Oryctolagus cuniculus: one gene and its partners. The protein of the gene in region 1 purifies or fractionates together with the protein of each later gene. This does not show direct contact. Links are inferred from orthologs where the notes say so. Each region holds a gene or a part of one and is shown in the gene's direction. Other genes may lie near its edges.

The links.
Region 2: the proteins of PRKACB (region 1) and AKAP9 purify together in Homo sapiens (affinity purification with mass spectrometry; 5 studies listed by BioGRID and IntAct, counting the BioPlex papers as one, with this or other methods). This does not show direct contact. The link is inferred for Oryctolagus cuniculus from reciprocal best matches to the Homo sapiens genes PRKACB and AKAP9.
Region 3: the proteins of PRKACB (region 1) and AKAP1 purify together in Homo sapiens (affinity purification with mass spectrometry; 4 studies listed by BioGRID and IntAct, counting the BioPlex papers as one, with this or other methods). This does not show direct contact. The link is inferred for Oryctolagus cuniculus from reciprocal best matches to the Homo sapiens genes PRKACB and AKAP1.

What each region holds. Positions count from the first base shown.
Region 1 is NC_091438.1:87,119,559-87,123,307, reverse strand, and holds the start of PRKACB (cAMP-dependent protein kinase catalytic subunit beta), read left to right. Parts: upstream 1-1,118; 5' UTR 1,119-1,256; coding exon 1,257-1,443; intron 1,444-3,749. UniProt on the Homo sapiens protein: Mediates cAMP-dependent signaling triggered by receptor binding to GPCRs.
Region 2 is NC_091447.1:43,775,668-43,779,416, reverse strand, and holds the start of AKAP9 (A-kinase anchor protein 9), read left to right. Parts: upstream 1-1,059; 5' UTR 1,060-1,145; coding exon 1,146-1,193; intron 1,194-3,749. UniProt on the Homo sapiens protein: Scaffolding protein that assembles several protein kinases and phosphatases on the centrosome and Golgi apparatus. Required to maintain the integrity of the Golgi apparatus. Required for microtubule nucleation at the cis-side of the Golgi apparatus.
Region 3 is NC_091448.1:32,671,267-32,674,915, forward strand, and holds part of AKAP1 (A-kinase anchor protein 1, mitochondrial), read left to right. Parts: intron 1-2,160; coding exon 2,161-2,338; intron 2,339-3,649.

The sequences.
Region 1 (3,749 bases):
ATTGATTTTCTTGAAGAATACACTGAGATGATATATGGCAAAATTCAGTGTTTCATTTGTAAACTTGTATGTGTCTGTCTAGAAATTCTTCTAATTTGATTACATTATTATTCCTATTGTATTTATTGATTAGTTGGCAGGAAATCTAAAATAAGATTTTTGTTTTAGAACTTTTAAAGATCTTTATTTTCTCTTTTCCTTTTTTCTGTTATTTGGAGCTTTCAAAAATAGCACACAAATTTCTCATCCTTTAATTAATGTCAAAAGTCAGGTACTCTAAATCTTTATTAAATGTCAAAAATTACTTTTCTTCCTGCAAATTAAAGATGGCAAGTTTTATTTACCTTTTATAAAAGGATATATTTCTGAGTGAGACCAGTAAATCAGAGGATCAAATAAGCAGTAGTCTTTCAAATTAACATTTTAAAATTAACTTGTCTTAGTCAACTAGAAGGAACTTTTTTCTCTCTCTGTTGAAATTTCTTGCTATGGCTGATATATGATTATAATTTGTAATTACCTTATATAACTTCAAATTTTCTACTTTGTACCTCTTTTCAAATTTTAGAGTGTTCTAAAATTCACTCCTAGAAGTTAGAAACATGTTAGTAGATTTTAAGCTCGATAAGCAATACCAACATACTTAGTTTCTGTAGTTTCTATATAAATTAAGGTTAAGTCAATACATTAGCAACATTCATTTCTTTTTAAAATGCTTTTCAGATTTTTCTTAATTATAACATATGTGTTATACATTTTTGTAAGAATTTTGTCATATCCATTCTATACCAGATTTTTATCGAAAGTTATCCAATTATAAAGACTCATAAAATCTGTATATTAGTGATTTCTTGGAAAAACTAGTCTACCATTTTAACATGTTACATTTGGAAGGTTTAGCCTTCAGTTGTTTGCAGGGTTATACTAATGTTTCTTTTTAAAAAATTTTCAGTCTACTCTATATTTATTCTCCTCAAAACCTATACTTAATATTAAAACACTCAAACATAGAGCCTTTAGCAAATATTGCAATTTTTAAAAATCCCCATCTCTAGTTGAGATGAAAAGGTTTGGCTAAGAAAAGCTCAGTAATGTGCTGTTTTATATTAACAGGAAACAGAACAGCAGTAGTGGTTTGAATACCCTGCAAACAGGAAGTTTGACACATGCATAGCTCTTAGCTTCTGTGTAAGAAGTTGTTGGACTCCTTCTGAAAGTATTTTCAGTTAATTTAAGAAAAGTGTAAATGTACATGAATGGCAGCTTATAGAGAACTACCGTGTAACCAGTATACAGGTACAACTACTGCTCTTCAGAAATTGGAAGGATTTGCTAGCCGTTTATTTCATAGACACTCTAAAGGTACTGCACATGATCAGAAAACAGCCCTGGAAAATGACAGCCTTCATTTCTCTGAACATACTGCCTTATGGGACAGATCAAGTAAGTTTTTTGTCTTCTAAATGATACATTATAACTAGCAGCTAAAATACTAATTGGAGTTTTAGAATCAAACATAAAGAACTGGTTTTGTTTGTCTTTTATAATTTGCACAAGGGCATTTTGCAAGATGAAGTTGAAAGCATTTCACTAAAACTTGATTGTAAGTTGAGCAGAATCATTGTTCATTGTTTCGTTTTATGTATGGTTATTTAAGTTGAATATCAGTTAGAAAATCTTCTATAAAACCCTCACATCCTTTCTAGTGTATGTTATTGTTTTTGATTTTTTATTGTATTTTAAAATTAAAAACCTAGAGTTTAGATACAATGACTTGTTTACTTTTTCAAATTGCTTATATTTATAAGATTTAAACTTTAAAAGAGGCAAGAAGTCTCATGAATTGCAGTTAAATTTCTATTGTGGTTCCTGTCTTATTTTTAAATGTATGTGTGAAAGTCATTTCAGTTTTTAGTAGGATTTCCTAGAGTAAAAGCAAAGTATGATTATTCTATGTAAAAACCTTGTATTTATAACCATGGATATCTAAGCTTTCATAATTGTATTTTATGTTACTTGTAAATATGGCTAGAAAGGGAAACATTGTTTATGTATGCATTACTTTCTTTCTAGACATATTAAAATATTTGGAATAATTTCTTTGTTAAAATGGTGAGATAGGATCATTTTTGGTGACGTACACTTTAAAAGATAAGTTTCGCATATAAACAAGAGCAGTTTTTCCATCCCACATCTCACCTTGGACCCTCCCCAAAGTATTTTTGTCACTGTGATTACAGGGACAGTAGAATTACCCTTGGCACTGTTGCCATTTGTGGTGTTGGATCACCAAATAGCAGTAAGGCTTGCCACTTCTGTTCATATACTCCAACACAGTTAAGGAAGAAAACTTAGCTGTAAAAACACCAAAGTAAGAACAGTCTACAAAATTTGCTCCTTGGTTTAAACAGCACATTGACCATTCTACAGAAACGTATATGAATTATTTTTTACTACATCATGATTTGTTTTTACATTCTTCAAGCTAAATTTAAGGGAGAAGATAAAAATGAACATACTTGGCGTAATTTTTTTTAACTCAAAAGGTTTTGACTTTTTATAGTTAGTCTTTATAGCAAATTGACAGATAAGGAATCAATCACATTTATTTTCAAGTTAATGAATTATTGAAGGCTGAAATTTTAGTAATACATTACTAAAATTTTGCGAGTATTTTGAAAGCTTGTTGTTTATTCCACTTGCCCTGTTCTGTACAGTTGCAGTTTCCCAAGCCCTCTCAGAAATCATTTCTATGCATTTCAAAGGTCTTTTAATTGAAAGTTAAATAAGGAATGAGGACAAAACTGAATTATATTCCCCAATACCTGTTACTCATGCTTGTATTGTGGTGTTTAGTGAATCTATTACAAATGAATAAATGTCACAAGGGATACCTGGATTGAGTTCCTGGCACCTGGCCTAGTCCTGGCTATGTAGACATTTAGAGAGTGAACCAGCAAATCAGACGTAATCATTCAGCAAATCATTCTTCAAACTACGTCTGTCTGTCTGTCTTTCACTCTCTCTGTCTCTTGGATAAAAAATGTTTTTATAAAAAAATAATGTTATGTTTAAGCTAGACTCTCACCATTTTTTAAATGTATGGGAACTTTGATGTGTTCTGAAATGCATTTTAAAAGTCTCCCAATGGAAAATAATATTATGAACCATGATTTTTTTTTCAAGAAAAACAGACTGAAAAGATGTTGACAGATTCTTTATTTTGAAATCAACAAGTAAGGCAATTAGAGTCATTGTACCAAATAAAATTAGGAACAGTGTAACCCTGTGAATAAAAAACAATGTACATGAAATACTTAAAAAGGTAACTGAATGTTCCTTAATTTTCCTCTGCCCATTTCTTCTTTTCCTGTCTCCAAAATGTAGCTGACACAACTTTATATGCAAGGATGAAAATAATAAGCATGGAGCTCTAGATTTTTATTATGGAATGTGCTAATGTAGTGGAGAGAACACTGATAGAATACAAGTAGAGGAATCTTACTGTTTCAAACTTCAAAGGTTTATTTTTGTGGCTAAAACAGAAATTTTCCTTCTTTTTTTTGTTGTTGACTATATGAAGTATTCATACAAACTACATTCTTCAAACTACGTAAAGCAGATTGCTTGCATAACTTGTTTGACAAGAAAAATGAATATAAACACTGTGAGTATGCTTGCCTCAAAAGTGGTATTTAAAGAGATCAACCAAACATAAAAACTGCATGTAATTTTCTAAAAATTAGGTT
Region 2 (3,749 bases), on another chromosome or scaffold:
TGAGTGGAAGAAACGGAAGAGTAATGATCAATTTATAGACGTGACCAGTCAACCCAGCAGTATTTATTCGGAGCAAAGCCCTGTGCTAGTCGTTTATTAATGCCACGGTGAGCAGGATCCATGAGGGGGTCCGTGCCTCCAAGGAGCCAGGAATATCAGGTGACCTAAGAAGCACGCAAGCCAACAAAACGCGTGCAGAGGACATCAAGGAAATTCGAGAAAAACGGCAACCGACATTAATTCGGGGCGATTCGGTAGGCCAGGGGCAGTCACAAAGATGACCACCCTTCCCCAATCCCAGGACAGGTAACGTGTGTCGTGTCAGGTGGTGCGCCCGGGCTGGGTCCCCGAGAGCACCGCTGCCAGAGGCCCCAGCGAGGCTGGATGGGAGTGCAGGTTCAGCAGGAGCCCTCCCGGGGGCGGGGGGCGAACAAAGACAGGAGCCGTGTGCGTGCAGGCGGAGGCGTGCGAGGTGGGCCTCGGAGGACCCGGCAGCCTGGGCGGGAACCGGCGTGGGCCAGGGGGCGGGACTGCGAGGCCAGGGAAGTCACCGCCGCAGTCGCCGCTCTCCCGGTTTCTGGCGTGGAGGAGTCCACCTAGGTTGAAAAGCCGGGGTCCGGCAAGTCTCTCCCGCCTGCTGGCCACTGTGGCTGCTCAGAGGTCCTTCATATCTGATGGCTTCGTGATTGGAAAAACCGCTCTGTTTGAAGAGCGCCGAGTCCCGCGCACCGTGGCGGCACTGCTGGCCGGCGGGCGGGCGGCCCTGGACACCGCTCCCGCCTCAGCCCCGCCGCCGCCGGGAGCCGCCGGGAGCCGCCGGGCCGCGGGAGGACGGCGCGGGCGGGGGCGGGGCCGCGGCGCACCTGCCCGGCGCGGCGGCTGCGCGGACCGACGTCCCCCCCCCCCCACGACGCCCGCCGAGTGTTTACGTGGAGACGAAGATGGCGGCGGCGGTGACGGCGCTGGCCGTGCGGCCCGGGACGAGCCGCCAGTGAGCGCGGAGGCTGCTCGCGCTCCGGGCGGGGCCGCGCCGCGCCGGGCCTGCTCGCTGGGCCGCGGAGCTCGCCGCCCCACCTCCGCCTGAACCGACCTTTCCTGTCTCCCCCAAACCCCGCCCGCTGCTCCGCCGCCTTCCCGCAGAGGCCATGGAGGACGAGGAGCGACAGAAGAAGCTGGAGGCCGGCAAAGCGAAGGTAGGAGAGGCGGAGGCAGCCGGGCCCGGGGAGGGAGGCGGCGGCTGGGCAGGGTGGGAGGGGGCCTGGGAGCGGAGCTGGCGGCGGCCGGCGCGCGCTGGCTGGCGGGGAGCGAGGTGCCGCGGCCCCGCGTTTCCCCCTCGCCCCTTGTTCCAGTAGGGGCGAAGCCCGGCGCCCCCTCCTCGCCGCCGATACTTGGGTGCTGAGTGAACGGCGTGGCTGCTTTCTCGTAAATGCCCAGGGCTGCCGTCAGCTGGTGTTTAATTGCTCCCGAATCTCAGCCTTTCACTTTCTTCAGGGGGTGTTCTGGGCGGTGCAGGCGTTGTGCTGCCCAGCGAGGAGATTCAGGGCTTCTCCTTTATTTGGGGGGGATTGGCGCGCGGCCGGCGGCTCGCCCGCCTCTCTGGCACGCTGGCACTCCGGGGCGTGTGTGATTGGCCTGTGACAGCTGCCTCGGCAGTGGCTCGAGTGTGCCACAAGTGCCAGCTGTGAACTTGGCTGCAGGGGCGTTGACAGAAGCGTGCCTTTGTATGTCTGTCTGCGGAGGTCTTTGTCGCGGCACCGAGGCTGTCTGCATGGAACTTCTGGGAACCCAGAGGTTCTGTGTTCCAAGTGACACCTACAGAATTCCTGCTTTGAGTAATGTCGTTGTCCTCTGTGTAGCTCCGGTGAGCCGCTGTTTCGTGTGTGTGCGCGCGCGCACGAAAAAGCCTGTAAAGCAAACAATACAAAATCATACACAGGTGTCATTCCTTGGGCTTCATGAAAAACTTGACACGAGATACATTTGAATAACCTATTTCTTTTAAACATTGCGTGTTAGACGTGTCTTCTGGTTGGCCCCAAAGGACCCCTTCTTCTTTACAACGAAATGACCTTTTGTAGGTTATCTGCTAATCTCTGTAGAGGTAATTGTCAGCAATCATACTTGGACTGCGGTTAAATGGTAGTGTAGTTAACTGTTTCTCCTCTCCGCCTTCCCTCCCCTCCCCCCACATAAACAAAGGAAACCGGGGCCCTGGCTGCAGTCCTCCGGGAAGGGCCACCTGCAGAGGTGCAGCAGGAGAGTGCTCATCCCAGGTGTGTCTGCCTGCGTGTGTAACGTAGCAATGCAGTGGGCTTTGCAGGAAGCTCCCTCCGCCCGAGGTCCAGGCTCACAGGTAGCCAGGTGGACTTTTAGAATCTGTACATGGAGGGAAGGGGAACAGGGCACCTTCCAGAGCCCCCAAATTGCTTACATTACACAAACCCCGTGTGTCCCTTGAGGGAGGTTAGCTGTGTGCTGGCTTCCAGAAGCACTGAAGTTCTAATCTGTCTGGCTTGGGAATTTTTACTGCTTGCCCCCAAAAATGTCTTTCCTAAAAACATGTGAAGCAGTCCCATGAAAGGTGATTTACTTTGGACAGACATATATCATGATAGAGGATTTAATTAAATAGTTGTAAGTAGTTGATTTGGCAAAATGGAGTTCTGTATGCTCTAGCGGTGTGTGTGTGTGTGTGTGTTTCAAAATTCTACCAATGGAGTAATGTTAATAGGTTAACTTGTATTTCAGAAGTTTATCTTCTTCTGGAGTTAAGCCTGCTTTTCCCAGTGAGAAATCTGTGAAACGTATAAGGCAGGATATGTTTGGGGCCACATTAGCTCTGCAATAAAAATACCGAAATAAGTCTTGAGAGATGATATGAAGAGACTGGCTTTCTAAGATGTATAAATGCAATGGAATAGTATGCAGCCATTAACGTTATGAAGACTAACAGCATGGAAGATAGAATGAAAATGGCATCATCAAAAATAGTCTATAAATTATTTCCTCTCTATATAAGCATGTGTTTTAGTTAGGACTGAAAAACATTGGGTTCTTTTTTTTTTTTTTTTTTTTTTTTGACAGGCAGAGTGGACAGTGAGAGAGAGACGGAGAGAAAGGTCTTCCTTTGCCGTTGGTTCACCCTCCAATGGCCGCCACAGCCGGCGTGCTGCGGCCGGCGCACTGCGCCTATCCGAAGGCAGGAGCCAGGTACTTATCCTGGTCTCCCATGGGGTGCAGGGCCCAAGCACTTGGGCCATCCTCCACTGCACTCCCTGGCCACAGCAGAGAACTGGCCTGGAAGAGGGTCAACCGGGACAGAATCCGGTGCCCCGACCGGGACTAGAACCCGGTGTGCCAGCGCCGCAAGGTGGAGGATTAGCCTAGTGAGCCACGGCGCCGGCCCAAAACATTGGGTTCTAAATGTAGTCATTCAGCACAAGCCATCTTGAACTCCCATGTTATGCCAGGGGCTGGAGATATAGAGGTGGTGACAATCTTTTTTCAAGTTAGATCACAGTGTACCCTAGAATGATACCTATCAGTGAATGCTAAATAAATGAAGAGCAGAATGACTAATGAGTTGTTAATGGGTGCAGCTTTACTAGTATGGTTATAGTTTAGTAACAATAGGGGCCAGCGCTGTGGCATAGTGGGTAAAGTCGCTGCCTGCCCTAACGACATCCCATACGGGCACAGGTTTGGGTCCTGGCTGTTTCACTTCCTATCCAGCTCTCTGCTATGGCCTG
Region 3 (3,649 bases), on another chromosome or scaffold:
TGGCTAATTAGATTATATTTCATAAATAAGAGGGTACTTCAAATAGTTCATGGGAAAATGGAAGTAAAAGATGAGTTTAGGGATGAGTGTTGTGGTGCAGCTATTAAGCTTCTTTGGAGATCTGCCTCCTGAGTTGTGTTTTTGTTTTTGTTTAAAGATTTTTATTTATTTGAGAGACAGAGTTCAGACAGAGAGGGAAAGACAGAGAAAGGTCTTCCTTCCATTGGTTCACTCCCCAAATGGCCGTAACAGCTGGAGTTGTGCTGATCCAAAGCTAGGAGCCAGGTGCTTCTTCCTGGTCTCCCAAACGGGTGCAGGGGCCCAAGCACTTGGGCCATCCTCCACTGCCCTCCCAGGCCACAGCCGAGAGCTGGATTGGAAGAAGAGCAGCTGGGACTAGAACTGGCACCCATATGGGATGTTGGCACCTCAGGCAGAGGATTAACCCACTGCACCACAGCACCGGCCCCCTAGAGTATCAGAGTTTGAGTTCTGTCTTCACTTTGGGGTCAGCTTTGTGCCAGTGTGCACCCTGAGGGGCAGCAGGTGATGGCTTAAGTATTTGTTTCCCTGCCACCCACAAGGGTGTCACAGATAGTTTGGCTCCAGGCTTTCTACTGGCACAGCCCTGGCTGTTTTGGGAATTTGGAGAGAGAACCAGCTGATGGAAAATCTCTCACTCCTATTGCTCTGCCTTTCAGATAAATGGAAGAAAAAATTTTAAGTTTGGTACAAAAATGTTTAAATCTACACAGGTAAGGGATCTCCAAACATTTGTGAAATTGCTAATTGAAAAAGAACTAAATATGGACTTCAGACTTTTTTCTGCATGAAATAATCATTTTTCTTTGTGTTGCTGAGAACCTTTTGAAGTACCCTCAGAGTTCTCCCTCAGGCCCAGAAGCTGGGTCGCTCTATAGCGTTGACCTGGGAGCGTGGCAGGAACAGGGGCCTGCATCTTGAGGGCCCCTGCGTGCTGGTGCTGCGGGATGTTTGGGGCCTGTCATCTCATCTGGCCCCGGTCCAGCCCCTCTCACTGAGAAGTGCAGCGTTCTATGGGCCAAAGATTGTTTCCTGCAGTTCTCTAAAATGGGCTAGGCCTGCTGCTCCAAGAAGACCTCCCCTGGGTTTGGTATAGGCTGAGACATGGCAGTTCTGTCTTCCTCTAGGAAGACCCTTGTGCTGTAGGGAAGGGATAGGGAACCCTTTTTGCTTTCTGGGAGTATTTGCTCCATGCTTTATTCTCAAGTCACAGTTTTGTTTCCAGGAGGCCTGGCTCAAACCTTCATATTAAGTAACGAAGGGTTTTGTGTAGTCTTCCTTCCCTTCCTGCTCCCTCACTGTGGAGGTCATCTCGAGACATGCACTTCCAGAGCCTTGAGCTGACAGAGGAGCATGGAGGCCAGGACTCTTTGCTGGGAGCTTCTCTTGTTGTAGACAGCTGGCTGGAAGGTAGAACAGACTCTCTGTTGGCCCAAGCACCCCACATGTTGTCTGTAGCTGGGCATGGGGAAAACTGCTGTTGAGGAATAAGGCTTTTAGAGACGATGTGGGGGTTCCTCCAGGGCCTTAATATAGGATGTGCCTGCTGAGTCCCAAAGTGACAGTGAGCTGAGGAATGTCTGGAATGTAGGGAAGACAAGAAGCTGCAGAAAGAGCAACTAGGACTCAGACCCTGAAAGTGGACCTGTCATTAGGAATGCAGACTAGAGACTGTCAGGCCCTGGGCTTCTAGGGTCAGCTGCTGGTCCTGAGGGGCCTGGGCTGGCTGCCTTTTATCCCCCGGCACCTCGTTCTCATCATTGCTTCATTCTGTTTACCTCCCTGAGTCTTAGAGACTCATCAAGGAGGTGGGAGGGAGGGAAACCTCTGGCAGAAAGATTCTATCGAGACCTGTGTGAGGCCCAGTACCACATTCACAGTGGGCTATTGGATGCCCAGAACCTCCCTGCACTGCCTTGGGGTGACACTCCTCCTAAAGGCCACTCTTGGTATTGCAGGACAGTGGGCCTCTGGCTAACTAGCTCATGGTGGCTGCCATCTGGGTGCTGTGTTGTCTTGGGTTGCTCTACCTTTCAAGGATGTGCCAATTCAGAGACTTGTCCTGGGGCCTCGGGGCTTAAAGGTTGTCACAGTGCCTGCTGCCCCTCCCCTTTACAGCTCATGCTGCCTGATGGTGTCACTGTGGAGGTCATCGTGGTCAACCAGGTCAACGCGGGGCACCTGTTTGTGCAGCAGCACACACACCCTACTTTCCATGCACTGCGCAGTCTGGACCAGCAGATGTACCTCTGCTACTCTCAGCCTGGGATCCCTACCCTGCCCACCCCGGTGGAAAGTAAGTGCTGTCCTGGGGCCTGGCAGGGGGGATCTCAGGCTCTGGCCAGGCCATGGGGGAATCCTTGAGGGCTGCATGTCTTGTCCTTGTTCTTGGTGAGGAGGAAGTTATTCTGAGACCCATCGTGGGCAGGGCATCCCTGAATTCTTGCCAATGTTATGGAGTGGTGCTGGGCTGAGTTTCCTCCACCTAGCTAATGGCCAGCAGGCCAAGCTGCTGTTTCCATTGGTTGAGCAGTGTTTTGATGCATGGATTCAAATCTCAGTCTTGCCACTTAGAATCTGTTAAATGGGTGTAACTACTTGTTCTGGGAATTAAGGTTGGCCACTCTGTGTTATACAAAAAACACTTGATGCATATACTGGTTTCTTTAAAAGATCCTCAGCCCAACAAGCCTGTGTGGTAGCTTGGGTCATGTCCATTTAGCATGTGAGGACACTAAGCCTCTGCAATCCAGTGACTTGCCCAGGTGACATTGGAGCAGGAGCTGGGATCCAAAACTAGTCCGACTCCTAAGCCTGTCCTTTGTCACCTGTCCTTTATCATCCTGTCTGCGGGTTTTGAACATCTCTCCACCCACCCTCATCAAGGTTCCTATCCTGGGTCTCCCAGTGGGCTTCAAGGCATCAGGGAACCTTTTGAAATTATAGCATTTTTTTGTGGTTTTTCCCTTTTGGAAGCATAAGGATTTAGTTTTTATCAGAAAACTTAAAATTGGTTCAACTTAGCAGTAAAGACTGAACCAGAGTCCAAGAGGCATCTGTATTAAGGGCTCCCTTGATGGGGTAGGACCCAGTGTAGCCAGCTCCATGTCCCAGATCCTCATCCCTGATGTCCCAGAGCAGTTGCAAGGGGTGCACTGGGGACTCTTACCCATGGTTGCCCCAGGGTAGGGGTGTGTGGCCCTGTGACACACAGCCTTATGCTCTGAGCACCGTCCTGAGGCAAAGACTTCTTAGAAGACCTGGCTGTCACTGGCCTGAGAGTCCCTTGAGTCTCTCCATTGAGATCTATACTCAGGAATGTAAGTCAGGGTCTGGCATCTGAGTTCTGTATTTCCTTGGTTTGTTCTGGCTAATCTGTGTCCCATTTCAGAGCAGTGGGTCTAGACGGAAATGCTTTTCCAGCTACACACACAGCTGGGCACACAGCTAGGCTGAGTTCCTATGTCTGGTTCTTCCTTGGATCATCTTGGCTGTGGGGAGACTTTGTTGGAGGTACATTGCCATTCCTGCCCCTCCCCATGGAGTGCAGGCCTCTGAATAAGAGCTCAGGGAGGTGGTCAGCAGTGGTTGGGGCGGACCAGCTTTG